2 linked regions of the Canis lupus familiaris genome follow. The protein of the gene in region 1 interacts with the protein of each later gene in a biochemical or structural test. Links are inferred from orthologs where the notes say so. Each region holds a gene or a part of one and is shown in the gene's direction. Other genes may lie near its edges. The genes, in order: PTX3 and CFH.

The links.
Region 2: the proteins of PTX3 (region 1) and CFH form a complex in vitro, tested with the Homo sapiens proteins (3 studies listed by IntAct, with this or other methods). The link is inferred for Canis lupus familiaris from reciprocal best matches to the Homo sapiens genes PTX3 and CFH.

The regions. Positions count from the first base shown.
Region 1 is NC_049244.1:51,501,991-51,518,984, forward strand, and holds PTX3 (pentraxin-related protein PTX3), read left to right. Parts: upstream 1-5,593; 5' UTR 5,594-5,680; coding exon 5,681-5,810; intron 5,811-6,254; coding exon 6,255-6,545; intron 6,546-10,177; coding exon 10,178-10,791; 3' UTR 10,792-11,404; downstream 11,405-16,994. Other genes in the region: VEPH1 (ventricular zone-expressed PH domain-containing protein homolog 1), read right to left, coding at 1,686-1,852.
Region 2 is NC_049259.1:3,458,318-3,473,660, reverse strand, and holds the end of CFH (complement factor H), read left to right. Parts: coding exon 1-68; intron 69-536; coding exon 537-746; intron 747-2,499; coding exon 2,500-2,676; intron 2,677-3,803; coding exon 3,804-3,980; intron 3,981-5,205; coding exon 5,206-5,379; intron 5,380-9,442; coding exon 9,443-9,625; intron 9,626-10,083; coding exon 10,084-10,280; 3' UTR 10,281-10,499; downstream 10,500-15,343. UniProt on the Homo sapiens protein: Glycoprotein that plays an essential role in maintaining a well-balanced immune response by modulating complement activation.

The DNA.
Region 1 (16,994 bases):
GCCGCGATGCCACTTCTGTTGTGAATCTTCTTGACACTTGTTTCTCCCTAAGGTAGAACTCACTGCCCTACCTTCTGCTTCTACCGTTTGCAAACCACTTATCACCATTTATTCTGTTTGGTTTTGTGACTGCTCATGGAGAGCTACCGCCAAGGTCTGCGATACAGAAGGAGAAAAGAAGTCATTCCTCCCGTCGGGCCCTTGCAGCCACGGCAGCCTACCGCGGTTAATTGTGCATTCGACCCTTCTCGCCGGCTCTTCTCTGCATGGTTCGAGGGTTGACTTCAAATGTTCCAGTACTCACCTTCACGTTCACTGATTTTTTTTAAGTGGTGGGTACTGACTTTATCAGGAAATGAAGCAGAGTTACAACCACGGTCGATAGAACCTTGGGCTGACCTTTAATCTTCACTCGTACGTACCTTCCATGATCCATTCCTACTCTCCCCTTCCTGGCGGCCTCGAGTCTCTCTCTGAGTATCCTCGGGAGTCAGCAGAAGCACCAGGCAGACGGTGTGTGTCCTAAACACAGAACCTCAGGACTTTTGTTTGGATGCTGGTGGTAGAGGTAGAAGAGGTGTGCTGCCTAGAGAGCCCCTTGGACCAGTTTGGATCCCACGAGGAGAAAGCTTGCAGAAAATGGAAGCCAACGCCAGAAACCAAATCCGAGAAATAGAGAGTAGGAAAAGTGTTCGGTTCGTATTATTTGAGCTCCTGGATCGACCACCTCACCTGAAGGTATTTTTTCCCCATCACATTAGCTAGTAAATTCCTTTATATTATTTAAACCAGCACTCAGTTGGATGTTCTGTGATGGGTAATCACAATAATCCTAATAATTATAATATTTTATTTGATCCCAAAAAACCAACAACTTGCTATCTAGAAAACGAGCCTTTGCTCTCACCCTAGGCTGCTTTCCCCACGTGCAGCTCATTTCCTCGGCCCAGAAACCACAGATTCCTGCGCTTCATGGCCACACTCAACATCAATTAAAGCTTTTCCGCCATAGTGACAGGTTTTACCTTTGTTCTGTTTTCAGTACTGTACCTGTTATGGTTAATTTTATGTGTCGACCTCACTGGGTCATTGAGCGCCCACACATTTGCTTGAACACTATTCTGGGTGTGTTTGTGAGAGTGTTTCCAGATGAGACTGGCATGTAAATTGGTAGAATGGGTAAAGCAGATTGCCCTCCCCAGTGTGGGTGGGCCTCGTCTAAGCTGCTCAGGGCCTGAACGAGACTGGCCGAGCAGGGACACTGGTCTGCTCCTGCCTCTGGGCTGTGGCTTACACCATCAGCCCTCCGGTTCTGAAGCTTTCACGCCTGGACCAAAGCTCACACCATTGATCCCCCTCATCCTCAGGCCTTCGGACTCAGATGGGAATTACACCCCGTGTTCCCTGGGTCTCAGCTTACAAATGGCATCTTGTGGGTCTTCTCAGCTTGATGATCACGTAAGCAAAGTCCGTTTGCTCACGATCTATGTGTCCATCCTATCGGCTCTGCTTCTCTGGGGACCACAGTGCCATCCCCTCCTCGCTTTCACGGTTCTAGGAAAAGTGAATGAGTGCTTTCACGTAAAGGCGAGTGTGTTTAGGCCCACGAGGGAGGAAACCCGAAGCACACCTGCTGTTCTCCTGCCTGGTTGTGCGGACCGTCATGCATGTGATGTACTTTTTACCTCGGGCTGCTTTCTCTTCGCAGCTACGTGCAAAAGCCGTAGGAGATGGTACTGCTCTGGTTGCTCCAGCTGAGGCATCAAGGCCAGGAGTTCCATCAGGTGCCTGTTGATCGGCTGAGGCTGCTTTTCATACACAGCAGGTAACACCCTCAACAGCATGGCATTGCCTGTTGAGGGAACAAAACCAGGAATGACGAGCATTAGCTCACAAGCAGTAGAAACACGTTCACTGTCAATGCAATAACCCTTGCACTTACTCATTAAACAGCGTGGAGTGATGGCCAAGGCTTCTGCTAAAAATAACACAGTATCTTATTTTGAAAAATCACTACAGCGGGACTCAAACAGATTCCATAAAAGGGAATATCATATTTATTTATTATCTAATGAAAAAGTTTTCCTGACTAATGCTCCACGGGGAAAGAGGAACACTTGACAGTAACCACACCACACCCTGAAGAAGGAAACAGTTCTGATAAAGAATTCCTGACGAGAAACAACATTTGGATGCTGTTTAAATGAAAACTATGCAGTGTCATAAGCATGAAACGGAACCAAAAAGGAAAAAAAAGGCGCAGAGGAATGTTTTCACGTTCCTGAGAGATATGGAGGCCTGGTTCAGACAGCTGACATGTGGAAATGCAGCCTTATTTTTATGAATAGTTACAAAAAAAAGTAGCAATGAAAATTTAAATCCCCAATTTCTGTACTATTTTCAAGGGAAGTTGAGAGTCCGCTTGTTTGTCACACTTGATTTGCCTCAAAGACATGTATGGACAACTGGATTTAAGATGGCAAAGTCTCAAGAAGAGATATTGCATAAGCTACAGGGACTTATCAGCAAACAGCATATGGGAAACATCTGCTTATCACTTTATGGTATGGATTTTTTTTCTCAAAATCCTCTCAAGTACTTAAATGTCTCAGGAGAATTGGTTTCTAGGGATTTCTTGAACAAAAAAAAAAGTTCGTGCGTCTATTACTTTCAATTTGGCTTCGTATATAGATGAAAGACACAGGAGGAATCAACTGAGCAGCAGTGATTACACGTATGTGACCTTTCTCGAATGGGGGGACATGTCCATATATAAAGGACATTTAGATAGGAGAATAGAACAAAAGGGGCAGCCCGGGTGGCTCAGCGGTTTAGGGCCAGCTTCAGCCCAGGGCGTGATCCTGGAGACCCGGGATCGAGTCCCGCATCGGGCTCCCTGCGTGGAGCCTGCTTTTCCCTCTGCCTCTCTCTCTCTCTCTCTCTCTCTCTGTCTCTTATGAATAAATAAATAAAATTTTAAAAAAAGAGAGAGAGAGAGAGAATAGAAGAAAAAGGCTACCATTTTCAGAATATCCGGGACTAAAATTAATAGAAGGGTAACTCTGGATCAGATTGAATGAGTGTGGGTGATGATACATAATGAGAATTGCTTTTCCCGCACGTGGTTCACAGAATTAGTCTCCTGCAGATTTCCATATACCCATGGAATGCGAAGTATTAGAAATATTCAGGGTTTTCTTTTTAAAAAATGTCGAGTCCATCACAAAATATTGCTTGATTTTGTTTTCTATCTCTCTGAACCAAGAGCTTTTCCTTAAAGGATCAGGAATTTTTAATGTAATGCCCAGTCTGTACAGGGTACAATAGACCTTAGAACTTAATTATGTAGACATACTGATCAATCTCTAAAAAAGTTCATGATAAATCAGACTCTCTTTGCAACTGAAGACAGGAAACTGGTGTAAGGCTTTTGATACAATACCCATTAAATACCCTGAAAGCCTTGAAGGAAAAACTCCAGATTAGTCATTTTCAGCTGACTTGCATTTTGATCACATGATGCAAAAATAAATGCATAAAAATTTTTTCTGCGTTAGAAACTGATGAAGACACTTTGGTATAGACGTCCTGTAAATTCAGAGAAAAAAGAGAAATCCTATAAATTCCATGTATGAACTAATATTTTTTAAATTATGGAATATTTGAAGCCATTAGGCAAAAGTAGGCAATAAAGAATAAGGTCGTGCCCTCCAAAGCCACTTGGTGCCAGAATCACTTCCTATCCCACTCATTTCCTTTTTCTCCCCTAGGGCAACCACCATCCTAAAGTCGGTGTTTATCATCTTCATGAATGTTTTTTTACATTTCAGTTGCACGTGTATAGACCAACAAACATTTTATAGTGTTGTTTTGCAGGCTTTAAAATTTTTTGTCAGTGGTATTCATACTATGCAAATGTCTTTGCAATATTTAATTTTTTTTTACATTCAGCACTGTGTTGAAGTTTTAGCTCCAGGAAGCTCTCCATCGCTTACTCTCACAGTTGTATGGCATTCTATCGTGTAAGCAGGCAACAATTTATTCATACACTCTATGGTTGAAAGACATGATGATGATGATGATGATGATGATGCTTAGCTTTTACCAATAGTGCTGTAGGATGCTGTAATTTTTATACCTATTTCTTGACTCAGGAATGGGAGATCTTCCCGAGGGCACTGTTTTAGCACTGGATTGCTACAAAACTATGACCCCTACCTCCCTTTATTTGGGAGGTGGGGTGGCTAGCATCAGCTCTCAGGCTTACAGGGTTGGTCTTGGATCCCCACCCCCCACACCTCTTTCTTTGGCTCCTGGAGGTTTCCCTTACATTATCTGTAGCTCATCTGTACATTTAAAGTTTTCATTATAGTGGGATCACTGGGTGGCTCAGCGGTTGAGCATCTGGCTTTGGCCCAGGGCGTGACCCCGGGTCGGAGGATCGAGTCCTGTATCGGGCTGCCTGCATGGAGCCTGCTTCTCCCTCCGCCTGTCTCTGTCGTCTCTCTCATGTATAAATAAATAAATAAATAAAATCTTTAAAAATTAAAAAGTCGGCACTTGAGATGAGCACTGGGTGTTATTCTGTACGTTGACAAATTGAACACAAGTAAAATTATTTAAAAAGGAACAAACAAAATAAATAAAGTAAAACCCTATTTAATTATTGCAAAAAAAATTTTTAAAAGTCATCATAATGTAAATGCATTCCTAGGTGTTTTGTGCAGGAGAGTTTTCAGCTTATTTGGGCCTTCACATTTCGAAGGAAGCAGGAATCCCTAAACTTATTTTATTATTTATTTATTTAAATTTATTTATATTATTTATTTATATTTATTTATTTGTTTATTAATTAATTTATTTATTTACTTATTTTTACTCCTGCACTGTTGGTGGGAATGTGACCTGGTGCAGTCACTCTGGAAACCTGCGTGGAGGTTCCTCCTAAACTTACTTTAGGAGCGTGATCTCCAGTGGGATGATACAATTTCCACCTCACAGCAGCTCAGGAAGAGCAACGTTCCTAAAGTCAGCGCTTCCCTCTCCCCCGGTGCCGTCCTCCTCGAGGTTTGCGGGTGGGTGAGCCCCTCCCTGCGGGGAGCCTGCGAGCGGGCTCGCGCCTGCAGGGGGACCCAGATGCTGGGGCTGGGCTGGGGCTGGGGCTGGGGCTGGGCTGGGGCTGGGCCCGGGCCCGCCCCCAGCACCCGCATCCTCCCGCGCACGCCGGTCCCCCTGGGCATCAGCTCGCAGCAGCCCCGCTCCGCCCCGGGAGGCCGCGCGCGGGAAGGGGCGAGGCTCCCCCAAGGGCTGCGGCGCGGGAGCGGGGCGCAGAGGGGGCACGGCCAGGCCTGCTCCCCGCCCCCCTCCAGCCCTCGTGGGGACGGTCCCGGCCCAGTTTCCCCACCTCTTTCCCCTCTGACCCTCCTCCCGCTAATCTGGCTGCAGCATAGCCCCCGGCGGGCTGCTCTTGTGCAACGTGCCGGCCCGGGTCGCCCGCCCCCGCGCCCCCGCCCGCCCCCGCCCCGCTTCGGGGGGGCCCCGGGACGGCGCTGACCCCCGGCTCCCCGCAGGCGCTGCCGGCGCTTATTAGGGGCGCGGGGCCGGCCGCCGGTGTCCGCCGGTGTCCGCCCGGTGCCCGGTGCCCGCCCGCTCCCTCCCCTCGCGTCCCCCGGCGGCGGCGATGCGTCTCCCCGCGGTGCTGCTGTGCGCGCTCTGCTCCGCGCTGTCGCCGGAGGGCCCGGGGGACTACGAGCTCATGTACGTGGACCTGGACAACGAGATCGACCACGGCCTGCAGCCCACGGAGGACCGTAAGTCGGGGGGGGCTCGGGGTCACCTCGGCCGCGCCCCAGGGCTCCGCGGGGCCCACGAGGACGGGCTGCTGGGGAGGTCGGGGGGCGGCGGAGCTCGCAGCAGGAGCCCTGGGGAGCCTCGGGGTCACCTCGGCCGCGCACCCCAAAGGCTCCCGCCGGGTCCCCACGAGGACGAGCTGCTGGGGAGGTCGGGGGAGGTGTCGCAGCAGGAGCCCGGGGGCCGGGGGGGCTCGGGGTCACCTCGGCCGCGCACCCCAAAGGCTCCCGCCGGGTCCCCACGAGGACGGGCTGCTGGGGAGGTCGGGGGGGTCGCAGCAGGAGCCCGGGGTCGGGGGGGCTCGGGGTCACCTGGGCCGCGCCCCAGGGCTCCGCGGGTCCCACGAGGCCCACGAGGACGGCTGCGAGGACCGGCGGGCGGTGACGCGCGTGTCCCCGCCGCAGCCCCGCCGTGCGCCTGCCGCCCGGAGCTCAGCCGCTGGGACAAGCTGTTCATCATGCTGGAGGACTGGCGCGCGCGGGAGGGCACAATGCTGCAGGCCGCCGACGCCGTGCTCCGGGCAGAGCTGCGCTCGCTGCGCGCCGAGCTGGGCCGCCTGGGGACGCCGTGCGCGCCGCCGACCGAGGGCCCGGAGCCGGGGCGCGCCCTGGGCGCGGTGCTGGAGGAGCTGCGGCGCACGCGGGCCGACCTCCGCGCCGTGCGGGGCTGGGCGGCCGGGCGCTGGCTGCCGGCAGGTGAGCACGGGGAGCGCGCGGCCCGGGGGGCGGGGGGCACCTGCGCGCACCTGCGCTCACCTGCGAGCACCTGCGCGCACCTGCGCACGCCCCGCGCGGCGCCAAAACGCGCTGCAGAAGGCGGAGCCCGGGGCCGCTCCGTCGGGGCTCTCCACTCCCTCCAGGTTTCGGGGGGCTCTGGTCCCCGCGCTATTTCGGGGCCCAGCCTGCGTTTTAGGGAACCTTTCCTGGGCCGCCCCCCCCTCCCCTGCCTCCTCCCTGCGTGCGGGTTCTGAGCCTGAGGCTTGAGACTGAACCTGACCCCTGAAGGGCTTAGCGGGATTGCCTCCCCCCAAAAGGGGCCTGTGGGATTGACCAGCCCCGAGGGGGCCCCTCAAGTCCCGGAGGTTCGGGGGAGCCCTACATGCGCAGTGAGATGGGCTGCTGCGGGAGCACACTGGGAACCCTCCTCTCCCCAGGGACTTGCAGGGATGGGGGTGCAAACAGGAGAGAGGCGGTTCAAACCAGATAGGACTTCTTGAAGTCGCCCCCCCTCCTCCCCTGCCATCCTACAGGGATCTCCAAAAAACACATGTGGGCCCGAAATAACACGTTTGAAAGGTGGGTCAAAGAAAGGAGATTTGGAGCCAAAGAACACTCCTTTGTGGAGGCCAAAATCTCTAAGAGATAGCGGCGCAGGAATCCTTTGTTGGGCCATATGGGAAAATCAGGGACTTAGGTATGAAAACAACAGCTTTCCTGTGCCTGAGAACGTCGGGAACAGAGGAGGATGACTTACAAGCAGCGCCGCCCTCCTTAGAGTGGCCATAAAGCAGCTCAGCTGTTGGGGGGCAAGGATCCTAATGGTAAGCATGTGGGGGAGCATGTTTCATTTAAAGTTGCAGAAACCATAGCAGGGTGTCAGTCGTTCCTAAGTATTGGAGGACTTTATCAATGCTGAGCAGATTTTCTGGACTATTCAGTACAGTTTCGGAGACTGGAAAAGCATAAAACCAAATACACGATTAGCTCCTCAGTGTAAGTGACAAGGAGACAAAACATAATTCTGTGGCTATTCTAGTGGGTGACATTTCTTGTCTTTGGCAAAGCATATTAAAGTGATTGTACCTATGATGCACCCCCCCTCCCCAAACTGAAGAATTAACGCCAGTTTTCACTCACCTCTGTACACTGGTTAGAGCAGACAGGGATGTATTTCTGAATTCTAGAATGCTAATTCCTTATTCCATCCAATAGTACTTCTACCCACATGGTTTTATTTCCCCTCTCTTGGTTTCCTGCCAGCTTGGTTCCTCGGGGATTCCTAATTATTCTGTTGTCGGCCTCCTAAGAACCTGGTTTTAATTTTGTTTGGTCTTTGATAATATAATCAGAAAAACCTATTAGTTAAAAGCCATTTCATGAGAGAGTTTCTGACATTTTAAAGAGATATCAAGAGCTTCAATCACTGGTCCCCACCAAAAAAAAAAAAAAAAAAAAAAAGCCACAAAAAAACCTGTGAACACGAAATTCCACTCCAGTAACTCACACAGCCAGTGCAGCCTGCAGGGGAGGCTGAGTCTCTGAGAGGCCATCAAGGAATGCTTTGGAATGCAATCCTGCCTGCCTGGGTTTATTTAAACAGGAAATCAGTTAATTAGACTGCAGTAGGCCCCCTCTTGAACACTCCTTTACTGGGACTTTACAGAGAATAATATCTCAAATGGTTATGCATATGGTGATCTTTTGCTCCGTGATCTTTGTTTCACTTAATTAACACAGAAAAAAAAAAAAAAAGAAAGTACTGATTTCATTTGAAGAAAGATTGTCTCATTAAGAATGAATCTTAAAAATCTTCAAAAATTCAAATTCTTCAGTGAAAAAGAGAATACCAAAAACGTGACGGGACCAATTTGTGCTTTAGTATTGTAGGTGCTTTGATACGATTTTTTGAAACTCAATATTTCTTTGACTATTTCTAGGTCCACAGCTATTTGGTTTTTTTTAGGGCCGAGCGTAGCCCCCCAGTCACTTGCAGGCATTTAGCGTAGTTGAACACGCTCTGCACGGACGCTGGGTGCCTCCAAGGTCTGTATATTCACTCACCGGTTGGTCTTTAAATGCTCTGGACGCCTGCATGCCAGAGCTATTTTATAATAAATCTTTAGTTTGTTATAAAGTGAATAGCTAGCCCTCGTTTAGATTAAAAAAAAAAAAAACAATTCTTTTTCTCATCTCTCCTACGCCTATGAGGTTATCACAAAGCAGAGCTCACCTATGAAAGGCTTTGGCACATTTCCCAGAGACACCTAGAAGGGCTTCCGTTCAGCACCTCTAGCTCCCTGACCAGACAGGTGACCTGGAGCTGAACTGAGGTGGGACTTTACTGAGCTCCCAGCCACCCACGGCTGAATGTCTCCTTCTCACTGCTCTTTAGCACAAATATGTTCTCGGCCAGGCCCTTTAGGAGAGCTCACTCTTCCTTAAAGGTTTTCTGTTGCTGCCTCCATAGTATTTATAAGCATGTGGACAAACGGAGCGTTTCTAAGCATACCCGTGGCCTCACAGTTCTTCTCCCGAGCACTACGTTCTTGTTGCTTCGAGGCGGACGATCGGTAGCAGGATGGGAGGGGCCGTTACGGAAAATAGGAAAGCCCGGAGAGATTTGGGGGCTCATCAAAACCTGCAGGCTTGCTGCTAGTAAAACAGACGGAATCCCAGCGCTCCTAGCCAAGTGCAGGGGTTCCCCTCCTGGGAAGCAGGGCCGGGTGCAGGCCAAGGGCACGGCCTCTGCAGCCGCAACGCCGCAGTTCAAAGCCCCCGTTTTACCACTTACCAGCTGGAAAGTGGAACCAAGTTGCTTCATGCTCTATGCCTCAGTTCTCTCATCTGTAGAATGGGAATATTAAGACCATCTCTTAGGGTCCAGAAATAGGATTAAAACCATCCAGGGCGGTAAGAACGGTGTCTGGGACCTAGGGAGTACCGGCCATCGTGATCGCTCGTTGCTGCTTCCGAAGGTAGCCTTCGACAGACTTTGCAGTTCACAGGTGTCTGGAGCACGTGGTATTTTACGATTCCAGCAACAATAGCACTGCCCTGGAGTTCCATTTAAAAACACGTCGACAGCAGGTAAAGGGTGAGCTAGGTCCATCGAATTTCAGAGGTGTTTTTGTCGTTGTTCTATGGAAGTTTGGTGAAGTCAAGAAGAGGGAAACAAGTCTGGCTCTAAGTTCTTGGAAACTACAGCGTCACTGAAGGTAACACGTGCAGGCCAAGGGCACGGCCTTGGCCATTTAACATTTTCATTAAAAAAAAGTAGCAACAGACCATCAGCTAATTGCGAGGGAAAGTAGTTATTAAAACATGGTTTCCACCATTTTTTGAGTTGGGACAATTTGGCTACTCTGCCCGCCTCCCTTCCACGTGGGGCCTTCACGGAGTAGGCCTGACAGTTGACCTTATTCCTCTTTCCTTTGCTCTGGAGGTCACACGGGAGGTCACACGCGAAGCTGCTCGGGTCGTGGTGGGCCACAGCATAGGATTTTCAGCTGTAGTCGTTCGAGTGCCGGGCGGAGACCCCTAAATGCTGGGATGACTTGTGAACGGACGCCCCTTTCTCTCATACCCTTGTCACGTTCTTGCTCCTCTAGGTTGTGAAACCGCCATCTTATTCCCAATGCGGTCCAGGAGGATTTTTGGAAGCGTGCATCCAGTGACGCCCATGAAGCTTGAGTCTTTCAGTGCCTGCATCTGGGTCAAAGCCACAGATGTTTTAAACAAAACCGTCCTGTTCTCCTATGGCACCAAGAGAAACCCGTACGAGATCCAGTTGTACCTCAGCTATCAGTCCGTGGTGCTCGTGGTGGGCGGAGAGCACAACAAGCTGGTTGCCAACGCCGCGGTTCCCCTGGGAAAGTGGACCCGCCTGTGTGGCACCTGGGAGTCCAGGAGAGGCCGCGTGTCCTTGTGGGTGGACGGTGAGCCGGTGGCTGCCGCGCTGGAGATGGCCACGGGTCACCTGGTCCCCGAGGGGGGCATCCTGCAGATTGGCCAAGAAAAGAACGGCTGCTGTGTGGGTGGCGGCTTCGACGAAGCGCTAGCCTTTTCTGGAAGGCTCACAGGCTTCAATATCTGGGATCGTGTTCTCGGCAACGAAGAGATAAGAGAGTCGGGAGGAGCGGAGTCTTGTCACATCCGGGGCAATGTGGTTGGGTGGGGAGTCACCGAGGTCCAGCCCCATGGAGGAGCCCAGTATGTCTCCTGAGTGTTGTGAAGCTCGACTCGAAGCCAAAGAAAGAACCTCACGTTTCAGACAGTTGGGAAGGTCTGAAAACCTCAGCGCGTGTTAAGAACACTTGAGACTAATGAAGGGGAGAGTTGAGATCAATCTTTATTTATCTGGGCAAAATTACCGAATAAACAGCTGAAGAGAAGGCATTGGGGAATGCTTGAGGGGATGTTGTTTCTAGACTTCACGCCACGGTGCTTTGCGATTAGTGCTGTGTCTCTGTCAGATAAACTCGCAAATAATTAAAAAGGACTGCGTCGTGGAACAGAAGGGCAATTGTTTCACTTTTCTTTGGTTAATTTTGTTTTGGCCAGAGATGACTTTTACGTTGGAAGGAACAGAAAATAACATTGGCTGTCCATTATTCACTGTTAACTGGCATGTACCTTATGATTACAAAATACGATGATGAAACATATTTATACTACGATGTGACTTAACAAATGCAAATGTAGTTTATGTGTCATAATCGAATGTCACTTTTTTGAGAAGATAGTTATATAAGTTATATTATAAAATGGTTTTGTATTAATTTTATTAAGACTATTTTTGTAAAGCTCTACTGTAAATAAAATATTTTATAAAACTACCCCATGTCATCTAATTTTATTTTATTTTATTTTATTTTATTTTATTTTTTAAGTTTTTTTTTGTTTTTTTTTGTTTTTTTTTAATTTATGATAGTCACAGAGAGAGAGAGGCAGAGACATAGGCAGAGGGAGAAGCAGGCTCCATGCACCGGGAGCCCAATGTGGGATTCGATCCCTGGTCTCCAGGTTCGCGCCCTGGGCCAAAGGCAGGCGCCAAACCGCTGCGCCACCCAGGGATCCCGTCATCTAATTTTAAATTTAAAAGATGTTTTGGAGCAAATCCGCACTCTTGAAGTAGGAGCTAGTTCCCAGAAAACAGTTCTAGTTGACATTGGTAGGAACAGACTATAGAGTTGTCGTAAGCTTTGGCTTCCTAGGAGTCATAAGCAAGAAATCTGATCTCGGCTAAGTCAGTTCATCTCTCTGGATTTTAGTTTTCTCAAATGAGAAATCAAGGAATTGAGGAAATAATGATGTCTAAGTCCCTTTGACCACATATGACACTCTGCCCTGTGGAACACAGAAACACACATAAATTATCAGAGTTCCCCAAATATCCGTGGTGAGGGCCATTCCTGGGAAGATCAAAGAATCTGGAAAAACAATGATTCCTGCCCTTAAAGCGTACCCCATTCTCTTACTCGTGCATGAAGAAAGGACGGTCAAGGTCCTTCACCCTACAGATGGGGAGGTCACTCTCCGCCACACTAGTGTTCTCCTGTAAATGCTTTTTGGGGCGAAGAGAAGACCATCCCAAAGCTGCTCCTGAACATCAGCAGCAAATGTAGAGCCACAGTGATGATGTGTTCGCCTAAGGACGGGTCTGGACAACCACGGGTCACCTCTGGTTTGTGAGATTTGGAGCATAGGGCCGGGACTAGTTATCAAACCACATTTTATAACTGACTAGTTGAGTGTCCTTAGGCAAGGTACTTAACTCCTCTGGGTCTTCTCAGTAAAACAAGGGGATTGGTCTCACTGCCTTTAGCCATAAGATGTCATGATTCTAGGAATCTTTGAGGATGCTCGTGATAGCAGTCGAGCTTCATCCCGCTTGTGAGACCCGCAAAATCAGCCTGATGGATCTCTAGGAAGAGTGTACACAGTTATGAGGCCGAGGGCCAGTCTCGGGCCCTTGGAGATTACACCGTGGCCAGACGTAAATCCTTCTTTAGCCATTATGTCCATGACTGGAATGCTTAACTGGAAGAAGAAACGCCGGACCCGACCATAAACAGAGAGTCAGGCATGCTTTCAATTTCCACATCTCAGCAGGAATTAGATCAGCTCAAGAGATCCTAGACGATGCAGGCCAAAATGCATGCAAACGCCTACGCCGACGGAGCTAAACCTGGGGGCGTTTTTAGTTTTTCTATGGGAATTACACATGGAGGGTAAAGAAGCAGCAGAGAGCAGAAAACCAAGCAATTGCTGGGTTACAGAAGCAGGAATTTCATCTGCTACAGCAGTAACCCTGGGTAAGTGTTCCAGGGGACTTCCGACCGTCTCCTAAGACCTATTTTCCCTCTTTTCCAAAGGAACAGAATTTAGGTTCACATGGTGGGTGTGTCCACTCGGGTGAAGTCTCTGTTTCCCAGCATCAGTGACAGCGAGGTGCGGCCAGGGGCCGACGCCCCGGCTGATGCTGGAATACACTGAATGGGATTCTCTCTCCCTCCTTCCTTCTGCCTGATTGGAATAGGGCAATGACGGCAGGAGTTCTGGCAACCTCGGCGGCGGGCGGTCCTGCCACCACACGGAAGGCGCCTGGGCTCCCGGGTGCGGAGCTGCCTCGCCAGGCCTGGGCTGCCTCTTCCTGCGCTGCTTTAACAGGGAGAAAACGGCACTTCTGTCACTGTAAATCCACCAGTGAGGGCCCCTGGGGGGCTCAGCCGTTGGGCATCTGCCTCCGGCTCAGGCCATGACCCCGGGGTCCCGGGATCGAGTCCCGCGTCGGGCTCCCTGCATGGAGCCTGCTTCTCCCTCTGCCTGGGTCTCTGCCTCTCTCTGTGTGTCTCTCATGAGTAAACAAAATATTTTTTAAAAAATCCACTAGTGTTTGATCACCTAATATGATCCAGGAGAACAATTTTTTTAAAAAATTGAAAAAACACTTTATCTCCTCAAAGCATTCAGAGACTACACTTAGAAAATACATTTTACAGGGATCCCTGGGTGGCGCAGCGGTTTGGCGCCTGCCTTTGGCCCAGGGCGCGATCCTGGAGACCCAGGATCGAATCCCACGTCGGGCTCCTGGTGCATGGAGCCTGCTTCTCCCTCTGCCTCTCTCTCTCTCTCTCTCTCTCTGTGACTATCATAAATAAATAAAAATTAAAAAAAAAGAAAATACATTTTACAAATTCTCAGTTGTTGGCTATCTGGCTTTTTTTTTTTTCTTAATATCATTTAATGAGTTCCGTAATGCATAATATTTGCAAAAGGAAGAGGTAAGAAATGTATAAAACGGAGATAAAATTTCTATAAAGAAGTATCAGTATGCTGGCTTAGTCTGGCACATTGGCAAAGAGTTTCATTTGCCAGAATGGTTGTTAAGGGCATCCCTATATCACAGCATTATTAAATAATTTTGTAAGATGACTCAAGTCACTACGAGGAAAAAATGCATTATATATATAAAATATAAAATATAAAATATTATGTGCATGTGCTCGTGTGACCAACTGTTCTGGTTTGCCTGGGATTGTCCCAGCTTCCACACCGAGAGTCCTATGTCCCAGAAAACTCCAGTTCTAGGCAAATGGTGACAGTCCGTCACTTTGTTACTCTAGTACCTACATATGTATGGGCGTCAGGACAATATTTTTGCAGAGGGATATATGAATATATGAACAAAATACAGTTGATACATTTTCCTTGTCCAATATAATCTAAAATTTAGTGAAATGTTAATTCCTTTAAAAATCTATTCAGAACCTTTTACTACAAAGGGTCTATTGCAGAATTTTAGAGTTTGGTATTTACAATTACTTAGTTAACTTCACTTTAACAATTACATTTGCAAAGAGAAGAAATTATCACTGATATTTTACTTTTTTGTTAAATTTTGTATCAGGAAGCTCTTCCTTCAGAAGCTTACTAAGGCCAAATGTTTCCAGAACTGTCTTTTAGCCACTTAACAAATAGCACTCAAAAAGTTAAAAATCTTGGGCAGAGTGATTATAAACATTCACGTCTATATTTGTGGATTCAATGAACTGGAAAACTGAGATTATTGATGCTTGCATTCAGTTTTATAGATCTGGACCGTGGAAGAAAGCGTGCTGGGCTCGGGCTGGGAAGTTCACCATTCGAATCCTAGAGCACCATCGCCGACCATCTAGAAGCCCGGCCTGCCAGCTAATCTTTCTGAGTCTCACATTAGCCAAGAAATTAGCGATAACAGGACTTGCCTCCCTAACAGAAGGGTTATTATGAAAATGACATAAAAACTGATGGCGAAAAAAAAAAAAAACTGATGGCGTATCTAATAGTACTTTGTAAACCATAACATGACATTTGAAATGAAAGTTGTCCTTAAAAAAGTTTTTCCAAGTCGTTCCCAGTGGGTTAAATTTAAAAAAGAAGCAAAGGTGCAAAAAATACAAACAAATAAGGGAATATAAAAATTCCCTTATATTGCGGATCATTCTCAGAGGCCAGCCCGCGTGTTCCTCGCTGGGAAGGCCTTATTTTACTTCACAGCAACATCTGCTGGTGGAGTCAAGAAGGTGCAAACCCTGGCCTGCAATTGATCCCAGCCCTGGTTAACAATTCAGAAGAGGCCCTTTTCTGTCTCAAGACGTGTCTCTATTTCTTGATCCACACTTGGTTGGCGTCGTAGAGCATCATTTTTAATATTTCCCTATGTGCATTATTATTCAGTTTGAATATTCTTAATAAGATTGCTTAGCAGCCTGTTTCCTGGAAATTGGATTAATACATTCTTTCTCAACAACCTATAATATGGTGAACTTAAAAACTTTGTTCTTTAAGAATAATTGTATTATGAATTTTTAATGGCTAAGTATCTCCCCAAGGATTATAAACTCCACAGATGAATCCGGTTCTGCCTTTAATATTTTAATATGGCCCCGGTACATGGCAGATGCCCAATTAGGGATGACAACGACAATGATGTTGATTATGATAATGATAAGAAGAATCGCTGTAACCCTGGATGAACTACGTGCCCGGCATTGTGCAAAGTATAACTTCTTTATCTACTTAGGCCTCACCTCAGCCTATGTGGCCCATATCACTACTACCATAATAAATGAGAGGTTGATTTTTTATCTCTATTTTCAGAGACAGCTCACCAATCAGTGGCTTGAAATGTTGTCTCACATAGAGAAAGAAATGAGGTGAATTTATCATAATTAACTAGACAGTCTCTTCTAGAGTATTGCCAGTAAGTCAGAAAGGAATTTGGACTCTTGCTGAGACAATATTACATTTTCTTTCCAAAGACTTTCTACTTAAGTTTCCAATCATTTGAGGTCATCTTGTGGTCTGTGCCAGAGGACCGGGTAACGGGCACGCTGACGGAGAGGCGTATTTCCTTATTACGTCCACTGATTCAGAAATGCAGAGGAAGAGACATCATTGCTTTTAGTGTTGAAGGTAGTGATGCGCGCATCACAGAGATCCAAAGCAAAATTTGGAAAGGGTTTCCCTAGATGCCCTCAAGTAACCCCTTCCACTTGGAGATATCCTCATTTGCAGGTTCTCCAATAACATTGTCAGCCTCCTGGGTAAAAGATGTGCTAAATGATGCTGTACTCAGCACTGCTGTCATATGCCAATACCAGGCAGGCTCTCCTAAGCATCTACATGGCAAAGAACAAGTTTGGAGAATTATTCAGGAATACTGAAAAATGACTCCCACCCTGAAAAGGTGATGTCACAAAATACTAAATTACTTCTGATATTATTTAAGCTGAAATAAATTTGTTACCTAAGTGACATCCTTGTCTTATTTTTATTTTATTTTTATTTACTTTATTTTTTTTGAAGGATTTTATTAATTTATTCCCGACGTGGGACTCGATCCTGGGTCTCCAGGATCACACCCTGGCCTGAAGGTGGCGCTAAACCACTGAGCCACCCGGGCTGCCCTTATTTTTAATTCAAGGGGAAGAACTTCGTATTTTCCCATTAAGGGTGATTTTAGTTGTAGGTTTTTGTAGATACATTTTATTAAATTAAGGATGTTCCTTTCTATTACTAGTTTGTAGGGATTTTTTTTTTTTTGCCATAGACAGACTTTGAATTTTACAAAAGAAGAAGATATACATATGTATGTAGGTGTATATATAGTAGTCTCTTAATTATAGATAATAATTTTATATACATATGTATATATACATATACGATATTCCCTTAAACAGTTTAAGGAAGTTCTGCAAAATTCTTAGCTCTCAAAAAACTTCCTTTTCATACATGGGTCCTGAATTTTTGCTCTTACTGATCGCATGACTTTTTAGTCTTTTACTGTGGGGAATTACATTTTGAATATTAAGACATTCTTATATTCCTGGGACAAACTCAACCGAATCGTTGTGAATTTTATACAATGAGGATAACAATAGT
Region 2 (15,343 bases), on another chromosome or scaffold:
CATAATTCAGGATGCAGAAGAAATTGTGTGTAAAGATGGAAGATGGCAGTCAGTACCACGCTGTATTGGTCAGTAGTGCATAACTTGCTTTATAACCTTCTTTCAAAGGAGATTAATTCTTCCTTGGGCTTTGTGTTAATGAACAAGATGAAGATCTCTGTATCTATTTCACTTAAACCTGAACAGTAAATCACAAACTAAGTATATAAATCAATCAGCATTCTTTCACTTCTACTGTGAAATGAACAGGCAAAAACTTTGGGTTACTGTGCAGACAACTATAGAAAATTTGTTTATACCTGTTTTACTTCTCGTGATGAACAGGACAAGAATGAAGGTGCATAGTGAACAAATGGAGAATAGCGTAGATTGTATGGAGATATATATGCTTGAAAGTTTCAAATGCTTTTCAGTTTTTGTAATTTAATTCGTTTAAATTGTCCTTATTTTTAAATTTCAAATGACAAATTTCATTGCATTTTTCAGTTTAAACATAATATCCATGTTTGACTCTTTGATCTTTGGTTTTTATACAGAAAAAATCCCATGTCCTCAACCATCTCCTATAGAACATGGAACCATTAAATCATCTATATTTTCAGAAGAAATAGAAGAAACATCAAAACCTAAATCCTACCCACATGGCAGCAAATTAAATTACACTTGTGAGGATGGTTTCAGGGTATCTGAAAAGGATGAGATAACTTGCCAGATGGGAAAATGGAGTTCTTTACCTCGGTGTGTAGGTGAGGACAGTATGCAAACTAAAATTCTATCCTCAATTTTCAATACAATCCATTAAACAGAACTGTCATCAAACCTCGGAGAAAGAATCCTTTAGGTTTCTAAATATATAAAATCATGTATATCTAAATCTATAAAATCATTTATATATTTATGTACTTTACCAAACAATGTTTGCATAATCAAGCCTATCCCATTTTTGTTAATTTGATTGATTTGTTATAGAATCACTTTTAATTCTGGCAATTGTTTAATTAAAACTAGGTGTGTAGTGCAACTAAACCTATTCATATATGTATGCCTATCCATATCCCTACCTATTTATATAAGTTGTACTGTTACTTTGCCATCAGTTTAAAACATTTTTTTTGTTTTTCCTATAATGTGCTTCCTGACTTTTACAATACATGGTACCTATCTTCAGATGATTAATTCTAAATGCTCTTCTTTTTATTATTCACTATATTGGTTTGAGAAGCACTGATAGTCTCTTTCATAAATATATTGACATTTTTATTTTTATTCTTTTAATTCAAAAAAATTTTTAAGTTTACATTTAAATTCCAGCTATTTAACACAGTGTAATAATATTAGTTTAGTGAAATCATGTGGTATTTGTCTTTCTCTGATTTATTTCACTTAACATTATACTCTCCAGCTCCATCCATGTCATTGCAGTTGGCACGATTTCATTCTTTTTATGGCTGAGTAATATTCCATTTGTGTGTGTGTGTATGTGTGTGTGTGTGTGTGTGTGTGTGCTATCCTTTCTTTATCTATTCGCTTATCAATGGACACTTGGGCTCCATTCATATCTTGGCTATTGTAAATAATGCTACTACTATAAACATCAGGGTACACGTATTCCTTTGAATTAGTATTTTTGTATGCCCTGAGTCAATACCTAGAAGTGCAATTGCTGGATCATAGGGTAGTTCTATTTTTAACTTTTTGAGGAACTTCCATACTGTTTTCCAGAGTGACTGCACCAGCTTGCATTCCCACCAGCAGTGCAAAAAGGTTTCCCTTTCTCTGTATCCTCACCAGTACCTGTTGTTTCTCACGGTTTGTTTTGGTTTGATTTGGTTTGAATTTTTGTTTGTTTGTTTTGTTTTGTTTTGTTTGCCATTCTGACAGGTATAAGGTGGTATCTCATTGTGGTTTTGCTTAGTATTTCCCTAATGATGAGTGATGTTGAACATCTTTTCATGTATCTGTTGGCTATCTGTATATCTTCTTTGGAAAATTGTCTATTCATATCTTCTTCCATTTTTAATTGGATTATTCATTTTTCAGGTGTTGAGTTTTATAAGTTCTTTCTATATTTTGGATACTAACCCTTTATCAGATATGCCATTTGCAAATAGCTTCTCCTATTCTGTAGGTTGCCTTTTCATTTTGTTTATTTTTCCTTCACTGTGCAGAAGCTTTTTATTTTGATATAGTCCCAATAGTTTATTTTTGCTTTTGTTTTCCTTGCCTTAGGAGACATATCTAGAAAGAATATGATAGAAAGATATGATGACAGCTGATAATATATGAATATTTTTGGTTTCAAGTTCTTGCTCAGGTTTCCAGCTGGACACACATCAGAGTGGTAGCTTTAGGAACCATTTGTGCACCTTCTCTGTGTTATGATTGTAACTCTTGTGTTATCATTTCTTTTCAAATAATACTGCCAAATACGGCAACCAGTACATAAAATTAAATTTCAAAATTAATGAAACATGGAATTATTCTTTCTTTTTTTTTCAGGGCTTCCGTGTGCACCACCAGCATATATGGTTACACATGGTATTCTAATTCAACAATCAGACAGTTACCAATATGGAGAAGAAGTAATGTATAAATGTGATGATGGTTTTGCAATTGATGGACCTGCATCTGTAAAATGTTTAGGAGGAAAATGGTCTAATCCACCAAAATGCATAAGTATAGTGTATTTAATTTTACTCTAAGGTTGATAACTATTTTTTTTTAAGATTTTATTTATTTATTCATTAGAGACAGAGAGAGAGGCAGAGACACAGGCAGAGGGAGAAGCAGGCTCTCTGTAGGAGCCCAATGTGGGACTCAATCCCGAGACCCTGGGATCACGAGCTGAGTTAAAGGCAGACGCTCAACCACTGAGCCACCCAGGCACCCCAATTCTTAATTCAGACATCAGTGGTACAAATATGAAACTAGGCAGTAATTCTAGAATTTAACAAGGTATCTCTGGGAAGTTGTAGATTTTGGTAGAGAATGAATAATCCTAGTAGTAATAAAAGTGTGACTGCATGAGCCTAAATTACTTCACTTTCATTTCACTTCGTGTGCACATTTGACATTCTCTGATAGGAATCCTCAGACTTCTCATCTCTGTTCTTTTTTTTTTTTTTAAAGATTTTATTTATTTATTTATTCATGAGAGACAAAGAGAGACAGAGACAGAGACTAGCAGAGACACAGGCAGAGGGAGAAGCAGGCTCCATGTAGGGAGCCTGATGTGGGACTCGATCCCAGACTCCAGGATCACGCCCTGAGCCAATGGCAGGCGCTAAACTGCTGAGCCACCCAGGGATCTCCCTCATCTCTGTTCTTGTATCACAGCTGCTCCTTGCTAATCAATCATTATTCAATTTATTGTTAGTTTATCAGTTATCCCCTTATAAATATATAGTTTTCTAAGATATTTGACATAATTAAAAGTAACAGATTTTGACAGAAGCAGAAAATACAAATACATACATAATGTAGGTGGCTTGTGTGGGCAAAAAAAGAATTTGAGTGGAAGAAATATGATATCAAGACTTACATGTATCCATAGCTTTATAGGGTTTCCATATCATCACCCCCATGTTTTACTTTTTTTTCCCCATGTTTTACTTTTGATAAGCATAGTACTATTCAATGTAATTCACTCAAAAGACTTCTAACACATTTCTTTTTCAACTAATAAGAAAAATTGTGTACAATGCTCATTGGTTTGATGTGTACTTATCATCCTACATTATAGTTATTGGTCATTATGTATTTTAAAAGATTCACTGAACAAGTACGTGTTCTTTTTCTTTCAGAAACAGACTGTTTTAACTTACCCAGCTTTGGTAATGCCATACCCATAGGCCCGAAGAAAGTATTATATAGGTCAGAAGAAAAAGTGACTTATAGATGTCCAACATATTACCATATGGATGGACCCAATTTTGTACAGTGTCTTAATGGCCAATGGATAGGAAGTCCAGTATGCAAAGGTATTTTAATATTTTAGAATCTATTTATCAAAATGTCTTAAGTAATATAATATAGAATTCCCACTAACACCATTTAAAAAAACAGACATAGATTATTTTTTTAGGCCAGGTCAAAGAAGGTTTATGCTTTAACATAAAGGGATAAAATTGTGTACTCAGTGGTTCATCTTTTTTTTTTTTTTTTCTTTTTTTTTTTTTTGCCTAGTGGTTCTAGCCTAGCCCAGTGGTTCTCAAATTGAGATCTCTGGAATAGCAGCATTAGTGTCTTCTGGGAAATTGTTAGAAATGCAAATGTAAATTTACAAGCTCACTCAGACCTGTTGAGTCAAAAACTCTGGGGATGCAACCCTGAAAAGGTCTTAACAATTCCCAAGAGATTTGATATGTACTCCAGTTTAGGAACCATAGCTATAGCCTATTATACTTAATATCCTCCTGAACCTCACTGGTTAGTTATAAATTACTCATTGAAATGTCCTTAAGCATTTGCAAAAAAAAAAAAAAAAAATCATTAAAGAGTGTTTTTATAAACTGTACATTTATATTTCTGTTATTTTTCCACATCATCTGTTTGGATCCTCAGTTAATCATCCTCTTCCAACTATGGCATTCTTCAAAGTGTGTTAATTCTTCATTTGTTATCTAAGGAAGTGCCTACTATGTTTATTTTTCTAAGGGCCTAAAATTATATTCATAAACACGATGATTACAAGACAAAATCTGATATCAAATAATCTTATTATTAGGATTTTCTCTTTTTAAAGGTTTTATTTATTTATTTATTTATTTATGAGAGACACAGAGAGAAAGAAGCAGAGACATAGGTAGAGGGAGAAGCAGGTTCCGTGTAGGGAGCCTGATGTGAGACTCAATCCTGGAACTCCAGGATCACTCCCTGAGCCAAAGGCAGATCCTCAACCTCTGAGCTACCCAGGTGTCCCATGATTTTCATTCTGAATTTATATAATTTATAATATTGATTTTACTAAAAATGGGAAATGTCCAGAAAAACTCTCCTTTTCATAGAAGCTTAAATCTTATCAGAGGATATTGTTTTATCTTTTCTTCAATCTTATATGTAAACTTCTTAAAATTGGCACTCTTTCATAATAGATTAACTGTTGATCTTAAATTCCCCTTGAGATATATTTGGAATCCCATTGTTGATTTGCTACTCAAAATGATCATTAAATTAGAGATGCTTCTTTTTTTTCTTCCCATTAAGATATGTCCTGCGAGAGTCCACCCAAAGTGAAAAATGCTATTGTACTAAACGAGAGGTCTAGGTATCTACCTGGTTGGAGTGTTCATTATGAATGCATCAAACCTTTTGACCTGTTTGGAGAAGCAGAAGTGACATGTTTAAATGGGACCTGGACAAACCCACCTCAATGTGGAGGTAAAGTATCTTATTTCTCCTTAAATTTTAAAGAATATATTAAGGACTAATAATGGCATCATTTTTTTATCTCAAATAAAACGATCGTGCTTAAAATCCAATCTTTTCTTTTTGTGGACTACATAAGTGATATTATATATTTATTTTACGAAAGATTTAGCCAGATTAGGGAAGTTGGAATCATGGAAAATTCTCTCTCTCTCTCTCTCTTTTTTTTTGAAGAGAGAGTGAGTGTGAGTATGAGCAGTAGGGGGTAGGGGGGTAGAGAGAGGGAGAGAGAATCTTTAGCAGATTCCATGCTAAGGGCAGAACCTGACGTGGGACTCAATCCCATGACCCTGAGGTCATGACCTGAGCCAAAATCCAGAGTTTGTCGCTCAACCACCTGAGCCACCTAGGCAACCAGAAAATTCTCTATCTTAAGCATTATGACACTCAATTATTTCAATGTATTAAAATGCTAAGAGGGGGACCTGGGTTGAGCATCCAACTCTTGATTTTGCCTCAGGTCATGATCTTAGGGTTGTGGCATGGAGCCCCATGACAGGCTCCATGCTCAGTTAGGAATCTACTTGTCCCTCTTCCTCTGCTCCTCCCCTTCCTTCTCTAAAATAAATAAATAAATCTGTTTTTAAAAATGATACGCTGAGGACATTTGACAGTCCTATGAAATTTCACTTTGAGACACACAGTGAGTACCTGGGGCATGATCATAGAATGTTATGTAAATTTGGGCTTCTTCAGCATGTGGATTATATAATGGTGGGTTACCAGCTGAGTTCAACAAGGAAACTCAACAAGGGAGTTAGTGTAGATAATAAAAAAAAGTCTGAGAACTTGGTCATAGCACACTCCAGTATTTAAGAGTTTAAGAAATAAGAGGATCCAACAAAGGAGATATTATAGCCACTTGTTTTTCTTTTTTTTTTTTTTTAACTTTATTTATTCAGAGAGAGAGAGAGACAGGCAGAGGGAGAAGCAGGCTCCATGCAGGAAGCCCGATGTGGGACTCGATCCCGGGTCCCCAGGATCACACCCCGGGCTGCAAGCAGCGCTAGACCACTGCACCATCGGGGCTGCCCGCCACTTGTTTTTCAAATCAACTTTTGCTTGGCATATATAATTTTCCAATCTTTTACTTTGAGCCCACCTATATTTTCATGTTTGAAGTGAGTTTCTTTTAGTTGCCATAGGTTTAGCTCTTGTTTATGTGTCCACTTTGCCATTTTCAGCCTTTTAACTGAAGTATTTAAACCATTTACACTTAATGTGATTATTGATAGATTAGGGGTTGTGTCTGCCATTTTATTATTTGTCTTGAATAGACGTCTTTATTTCTCACTCACATTTCTTTCTTTGCCATCCTTGTGGATTTTTGGAACATTTAAAAATAATTTTATTTTGACATGTTTATGTTGTTTCAGAGCATATCTCTTTGTAGCTTTATCTGTGGTTGCTCAAGGTATTAGGATGCACATATGTAGCTTGTTACACCCCCTGGTTTTGACATTTTACCACTTAAAGTGAAATGAGGAAACCTTACTTCCACTTAGGCCCATTTACCCTCCCCACATTTTATTTTATTTTTCACATATTTATTTTTTGAGAGAAATAGAGAGTGAGAGGGGAGTGGTGGGGACGATGTGTGTGGGGGGGTGGATCTTAAGCAGCCTCCATGCCCAGCTTAGAGCCCAATAAAGGAGGCTCTATTGGGACAATACAGGGAGGGCTTGATGTCCCAACCCTGAGATCATGACCTGAGCTGAAGTCTAAAGTGGCTGCTCATCTGACCAACTGAGCAATCCAGGTGCCCTTACCCTGTCCACATTTCAAACATAAATGTCTTAAGCATTTTTTCTACATATATTGAGCACCATATCAAATGATGTAATGTTGCGCAAACATCAAACCTAATGAACTCATTAGGAAAAAGAGAGTCTATTATATTTACCCTTATTTTTTCAGTCCTTTGCTTTTCTTCCTTCATGAAGTCTCTCAGTCCTTGTTCTGTTATCTTTTCCCTGCTTTTTGAAGAACTCCTTTCACAATTCTTTAAAGATCTGCTGGAGATAAATATCTTTTGTCTCAGAATATCCTCTTTTCTCCCTTAAGTCCTAAAGGATAGTATCACTGGATATAGCATTCAGGGGTAACAGTTCTTTTCTTCTAGTATTTGAAAAATCTTGTCACTTCTTTCTTTCTGGCTTGATGATTACAGAGGTGAGAGCCCCTCTGACACTTGAATCCGTTTTCCCTTATAAGTTTGCTTCATTTCTGTGTAGCTGCTTTTGAGATTTTTTTCATTTTCTTTAGTTTTCCTCAGTTTGATTACAATGTATCTCAGGATGAATTTCTTTGGGTTTGTCTTGTTTGGCTTTTTCAATATGAATGTTTATGCCTTGTGGCCAATTTAGGAAATTTTAGTCCTTTTTTTTTTTTTTTGGAAGTTTTTTGTTGTGTTTTGTTTTCAGTCTATTTTCAAAGTGAGTAATTTGTATTCTATATTATTCAAGTTGATTTATCCTTCCATCATCTGTAAACCATGATAGAGCCTATCTAGCAAAGGTTTTTTGTTTTTTTTTTTTAATTCCATTACTACATTTTTTGGTTCTATAATTCCCACTGGATTTTCAGTCAAATAATTCCAATATCTGTTTCATATCAGTGTTGTGATCTGTTGATTATCTTTCTCTTGAGATTTTCCTGGTCCTCGGTATGATGAGTGATTTTTTATTGTGTTCTAGACATTTGGTGTGTTACGTTTTAGACTCTGGATTTTATTGAAATCTCTTATTTATCAGGCCTCCATTATTGCAGAGAGTGCAAGTCCAGGCTTTCCACTTGGCCTCCACTGACACCATGGAAAGTGGAGAGATATCTTGTTCCCTGACTGTGGATAGAAGTCTAGGTGCCACACTTGGCCTCCATTGATCACTGTTGATCTCTGATCAACATGGGAAGAGGGTTGGTCAAGGTTTCTCTTCTATGATGATTTTTGGGAGTAATTCAAGTATTGTAAAAAATACATATATATTTCTGTCTTGCTATAATACTCCTTTCCTGAGCCTTTGGCTAAAGAGAGAAGGCAACTCTTGGGACTTTTCTTTTTTCTTTTTGGCCTGAACTTGATATCATTTCTGGGTTCCAGTGCCCAGGCCAGGCTCCATAGAAGGCAAAATGAAAACCCAAACAACTCACTGCTGTAGAAATCCTTGAATAGGGGCAGCCCGTGTGGCTCAGTGGTTTAGTGCTGCCTTCAGCCCAGGGCCTGATTCTGGAGACCCGGGATCAAGTCCCACGTCTGGCTCCCTGTATGGAGCCTGCTTGTGTCTCTGCCTTTCTCTCTCTCTCTCATGAATAAATGAATAAAGTCTTTAAGGAAAAAAAGAAAGAAATCCTTGAATAATCTCTTATGTTGGTTTTCATAATATGTTCAGGATTTTTAGTGACACTTAGTAGAAGGAATAAGCAGAAAGGTTTTTTGGGTTTTTTAAAAGATTTTATTTGTTTATTCATGAGAGAGAGAGAGAGAGAGAGAGAGAGAGGCAGAGACACAGGCAGAGGGAGAAGCAGGCTCTATGCAGGGAACCTGATGTGGGACTTGATCCCTGGTCTCCAGTATCACACCCTGGGCTGAAGGTGGTGCTAAACTGCTGAGCCACCTGGGCTGCCCTGATGATCCTTTTGCAATAAAAATGAAAATCAATAAAGAATGACTAGAGATCCAATAGACACTGCAGTATGTTGTATGTATTAAGAAGGTTTGTTTATATTAACTATCCATCTGTCCTTCATTTATTCAATAGGAAAAATATTTTTAATACCTTAATACTGTAAAGCAGACAGTTTGTTAATGCTTTATGTGGTGTGCTTTCCTGTAGGATAAAAGGAAAGGCTTAAAAGTTTGATTCTCAGTTTAAGTGATTAAAATGTCTTCAGTGAATCATTTCTGTCAGCAGAAGTCACAAGTCTTGATATTGCATATTGTGCTATATTTTTATTTGCTTTATTTTACCCTGTTTTTCTTTAGTCTTTCAATAAATCAAATAAATATTTTGTTTAGAATCTAAAGGAAAATGTGGGCCTCCTCCACCTATTGACAATGGAGACATTACTTCATTCCCATTATCAGCATATGCTCCAGAATCAACAGTAGAGTACAAATGCCAGTCCTTGTATGCACTTCAGGGAAACAGGATTGTAAGATGCAGAAATGGACAGTGGACAAAACCACCAAAATGCTTAGGTAAATATTTTAATATTCTCATGGATCCTGGGAAAATCAGTATAATGAGTAAGATGTCTTACTGTTATTAATAGAATGTTCATTGATTAACAAACAACCATTTGTTGAATACGTGACTACCAAACATTAATATGTGAAGAAATAAAGTTGGAAAAAAACTCCTATTCAAGCAACAAAAGATCCTTTACTGAAAGGACTCTGGATTTCTTCATATTATAATTGACATTATGAATCTTTGAGTATAAAATTATCACACCTTAAGTGTGGTACATCATTTTACATCATTGATCATTTAAAATGATTTAAATCGATGCAATGGATTTTCAGTGAATTGGGTTTGGAAAAGATTTTAAAAACAAAGCCCTGGGCCAGTGTAGAAGATTCTACTTGAGAATCTAAAGTTCTATGGAAAATATTTGTTTACTACTCGATGTTATATTCTTTTTTTTCACCTTCAGATGCCTGTGTTGTATCAGAAGACATCATGAGAAGAAATAACATACGATTTCGATGGTCTTCTGAGACAAAACTGTATTCTCAAACAAGGGATACTGTTGAGTTTGAATGTATCCCTGGATATCATTCAAAGACAAACAATCAAGTATTCCGAGCAGTCTGTCATGAAGGGAAAATGACATATCCTGTTTGTGTATAGGTTATGGTTAAGATGCAGTTTTATAATTAAAGTATATACATTTACTGAGAATTTTTATTATCAGTCCAATTCTCAGTTTATTTTGTCAAGTATTGTGTAACTCATTTATATTCATAAATCAGAATTTGTATTAAATATGATGTGGATGATGTAATTATAATCAGAGGAATGAATAAATCACTTCTTAAAAGCACCTCATTAAAACTTGGCAAGCCAAAATGCTTTGTGTCCTATTCATAAAATATCTATGGCAAGAGATTAGGTCACTCCAGTGTCTACTTCTATCCATCTTTCCCTCTAACTTTCTCAAAACGTCTTCCATAACTTCTGAGTCTGCCTGAGACTCTCCATTTCAAAGGAAATGGGAGAAAATGCTTTTCACCATTTTCAAGATAATTTCATTTCAAAAACATGTGAAAACCTAACTATGCCATACCTTATTAATAATACGATATAAGGGGATCCCTGGGTGGCGCAGCGGTTTGGCGCCTGCCTTTGGCCCAGGGCGCGATCCTGGAGACCCGGGATCGAATCCCACATCAGGCTCCCGGTGCATGGAGCCTGCTTCTCCCTCTGCCTATGTCTCTGCCTCTCTCTCTCTCTGTGACTATCATGGATAAATAAAAATTAAAAAAAAAAAAAAAAAAAAAAAAAAAAAAGATTAATAATACGATATAAGTAGTTATTATTTAGTTTTGCTTATCTGTCAATAGATACATATACCCAAAAAATGATTATAAATGCAAGATTTTCTACAAGATGGCTATATAGCACACATAAAAATTCAAACATATCATAAAGAGAAATTAGAATCTAATTGGGTGCATAACTGTCATAACATGAAACGGGACAAAAAATCTGATTTCAAGTATAAACACCCACACAATATTTTGAACACTATAAACATATGTTTATAGAATCTATAAACAGTATAGAATCTATAAACAGAATCTATAAACAGTATAAGCATAACTGTTTATAAAACGAGAATTGGGGCAGCCCTGGTGGCGCAGCGGTTTGGCGCCGCTTGCAGCCCAGGGCGTGATCCTGGAGACCTGGGATCGAGTCCCGCATCGGGCTCCCTGCGTGGTGCCTGCTTCTCCCTCTGCCTGTATCTCTGCCTCTCTCTCTCTCTAGCTGTGTCTCTACGAATAAATAAATAAAATCTTTAAAAAAAAAAAATAAAAATAAAACGAGAATTGTCAGGAAATACAATAAAATATTTACAATAACTACAGTTGAATTTAAAGGTGCTAGAAGTAAGAGTTGGTGTTTAAGCCCTTAGTAGTCACCTGTATTGAGAAGACTGGGTGGCTCAGCGGTTGAGTGTCTGCCTTCCACTCGGGGCATGATCCCAGGTCCCCAGATAGAGTCTGCATAGGGCTCCCTCTGGGGAGCCTGCTTCTCCCTCTGTCTGTGTCTCTGCCTCTCTTTGTCTCTCATGAATGAATAAAAAATAAAATAAAAAGTCACCTGTTTTTTCCAGTTTTTCTATCTTTAGTATTATCACCTTTAAACCACAATAAAGGTGGTTATTTTGATGGGGTGCCTGGCTGGCTCAGTCAATGGAGTGTGCTCATGACCTCAGGGTCATGAATTTGAGCTCCATGTTGAGTATAGAGATTACTTAAATATGTAAATACATCTTTTTAAAAATAAAACAAAATAAAGATATATTAAAAGTAGGATGATACATGTTGAGAGCTATGAGGAACTCTTTGGTAACGATCTTCAAACCTAATGACATCTTCATGAGTTTGTTGCAATAGAGGGTTTTGGAAACATTCAGCCACAAGAGTCTGAAATATGATTTTTGCGTGCATACATTTCAAACAGCATAATTAGTTAAATTCAGCTGACTGTAAACATTTTTAAATTCTACAAAAATATGAAAACTTTAAGGTGAAAATAAAGATAAAATTAAAGTAAAAATATTTTAAGGTGATAACTTGTTACTTCGTTTTGCATCAAATCAAGTTGCATTCTTAGAATGAGAAACCTGGCTGTTTCTAATAGAGTTGATTTATTTAAATCTGAATCACAAGTGATAGCCAGTTTTCTCATGTTTAAAAGAACATTGTCACAATTGTCAAGTTATCTTTGCTATTAATATTGACATACATACTGTTTCTCCTATAATCAACATATTCTATAAGCAATCATTTTCATTGTTGGCTGCAAAATAGTGATTTTTAAGATGAATTTTATTCTTTTTCTGCAGTTATTGTCATTCTTGTGTAAAGATTAAGTGTTAATTGTCCAATTTCTTAAATCCTTTACCTAAAACTATTTGGTAAATCTTTATTTTTGCTCTTTAATTTCCAATTTTGGAGTAGGACTTGATGATAGTGACTTTCTGTGATGACTTTAAAGATTTTTTCTTTTGTATTATTTTTATTATTTTTTAAGATTTTATTTATTTATTCATGACAGACACAGAAAATGAAAGATAGAGAGGCAGAGACACAAGCAGAGGGATTAGCAGGCTCCATGCAGGGAGCCCAACCTGGGACTCAATCCCAGGTCTCCAGGATCACACCCTGGGCTGAAGGCGGTGCTCAACCGCTGGGCCACTGGGGCTGCCCATCTTTTTTTTTTTAATGTTCTATCAGAAAGGATTCATGAATTCTTGCTTATTCAATTTGTCACAAACAATTATAGTCATTATTCTTTGAAGCTCAAATTATCCCAAATTTGACTAGTGAGTGCCTCTTGAAACTGGCTCCTGATTGTTTTGTTATACCTACGAGTCTTTGAGTGTTTCTTTTCTTTTTAGCACAACAAAATGTTCAGGTATACTTCAGGTATAATGTTCAGGTTCACCGGTATACTTCCCTGACCAACACCCAAATCATCTTTCCAAAAGTCTGATTCTTTTTATTGGGAAATAGTGTTTAGAACACAAAAACTGTGCTATTAGTACTAGATGGGAACATTCAATACTGTTGAAATGTCTTCAAATCTTGTCAGAAATCTGAAATAGAAATGAAATTTAAAATTCATTTGCTCTTATTGGTTCTTACAATTTTTTGCTTGTCAGAAATCTGAAATAGAAATGAAATTTAAAATTCATTTGCTCTTATTGGTTCTTACAATTCAGGGTTATAAGTAATACAGGGTTAAGAAACTTTAAAATGGCCAGCCTGGGTGGCTCAGTGGTTTAGAGCCACCTTCAGCCCAGGGCATGATCCTGTAGACCTGATCAAGTCCCACGTCAGGCTCCCTGCGAGGAGCCTGCTTTTCCCCTCTGCCTGTGTCTCTGCCTGTCTCTCTCTCTGTCTCTCATGAATAAATAAAACTTTTTTAAGATTGATTTATTCATGAGAGACAGAGAGAGAGAGGCAGAGACACAGGCAGCGGGAGAAGCAGGCTCCATGCACCGGGAGCCCGACGCAGGACTCGATCCAGGGACTCCAGGATTGTGCCCTAGGCCAAAGGCAGGCACCAAACCACTGAACCACCCAGGGATCCCCAAAAAGAAACCTTTAAATACATTTTTTGTCATTTCTCTTTATTCATATATTCTTATATTTAAATATTTTTAAAAATAATACTAGGGGCTCCTGTGCTTAAGCGTCTGCCTTCGGCTCAGGTCATGATCCCAGACAGGGTCCTGGGATACAACCCCTGTCGGGCTCCTTGCCCAGTGGAGCCCTCTCCCTCTGTTTATCTCCCCCGGCTTGTGTGCTCTCTCTCTCTCTGTCAAATAAATAAATAAATAAAATCTTTACAAAAATAATATTAAAAGCATAATGCAAACATTACTATCAGCAGGTAAACTACTGAATAAAGGTTAAAAATGTCTTTGCATTTATTTTGTCCTTAGGATGTTGGACTCAAAAATGACTTGAAATAATCCTTACCTCTCGCTGGCTCACTTACCAAATTAATAAAATTTTACATTTACTTGCATTAGCATTGTTAGGTTTTTTCCAAAATGAACGGCAGAGAAATAAAAAAATAAACAAACAAACAAACAGCAGAGCCCGGCAGTAGGTTGGAGGGTGCTTTAAAGGGGAGCGCTCCCGGGAGAGGTGGCCCGAGTTGGGGAAGTCACCTGTGGTTTGGGGGGGGGGGGAGGGTTTAGGCCTTATTGGTTCCAGTTGGACCGGGTGGGTCTCCTGTCAATTAGGCACGTCCCTAGGTGATTGGCTGGGGCTGGGGATGGTCCAGACGATGGGGGGTGGTCCCTGGCTGGAAAGTCCTGGATGGAAAGTTTCGGTTCCGTCTAGGATTCGATTTATTGGAGATGATGTGGTGGTCTTGGCTGCTTTGGCGGGAAGACCAGCCATTGACCCAATTTGAGATGTCCTGCTATTTTGGGTTGGGCTCAGGCAGCCCAACAAGCATTTTTTTTTCAATTTTAGATTTCACTTCTTCCTCTTTTAAGCTAAACTTTTTTTAAAATATGAAAAATACATTTTTAAGAAGATTGTGCTTATTTGTTTGATAAAGAGAGACAGAGAAGGGGGAGAGACAGAGGGAGAGGAAGAGTGAGAAACTACAGCCGCCTGAGCTGAGCTTGAACACTGATGTGGGTGGGTCTCCAGATCACAACCATGAGATCATGACTTGAGCTGAAACCAATAGTCAGATGCTTCACTGACTGAGCCACCTAGATGCCCCAAACATCTACCTATTTTAAAAGTCAAAGTAACATGAGAAGTATGCAGAGTAGTCTTCCTTCCATCATATCTGTTCCCTCATTTAATAAAGTTATATTTGTATTAGTTTCTGACATCCTTTCAGTGTTCATTAATCTTTCTTTAAAAAAAAAGATTTTATTTATTCATGAGAGACACAGAGAGAGGCACAGACACAGGCAGAGGGAGAAGCAGGCTCCATGCAGGGATCACACCCTGGACTGAAGGCGGCGCTAAACTGCTGAGCCACAGAGGCTGCCCTAATCTTTCTTTTAATAGCGAAGGAAGATTACTTAACACATTTATCTGGACTTTGCTTTCATATTTATTTTTAGTATTTATTTCTAATATTCCCCTGAACTGCCTTCCTCAGCTCCCTGGACAGAGGCTGCCTCAGTAGCTGTTCAGCCATCTACCTAG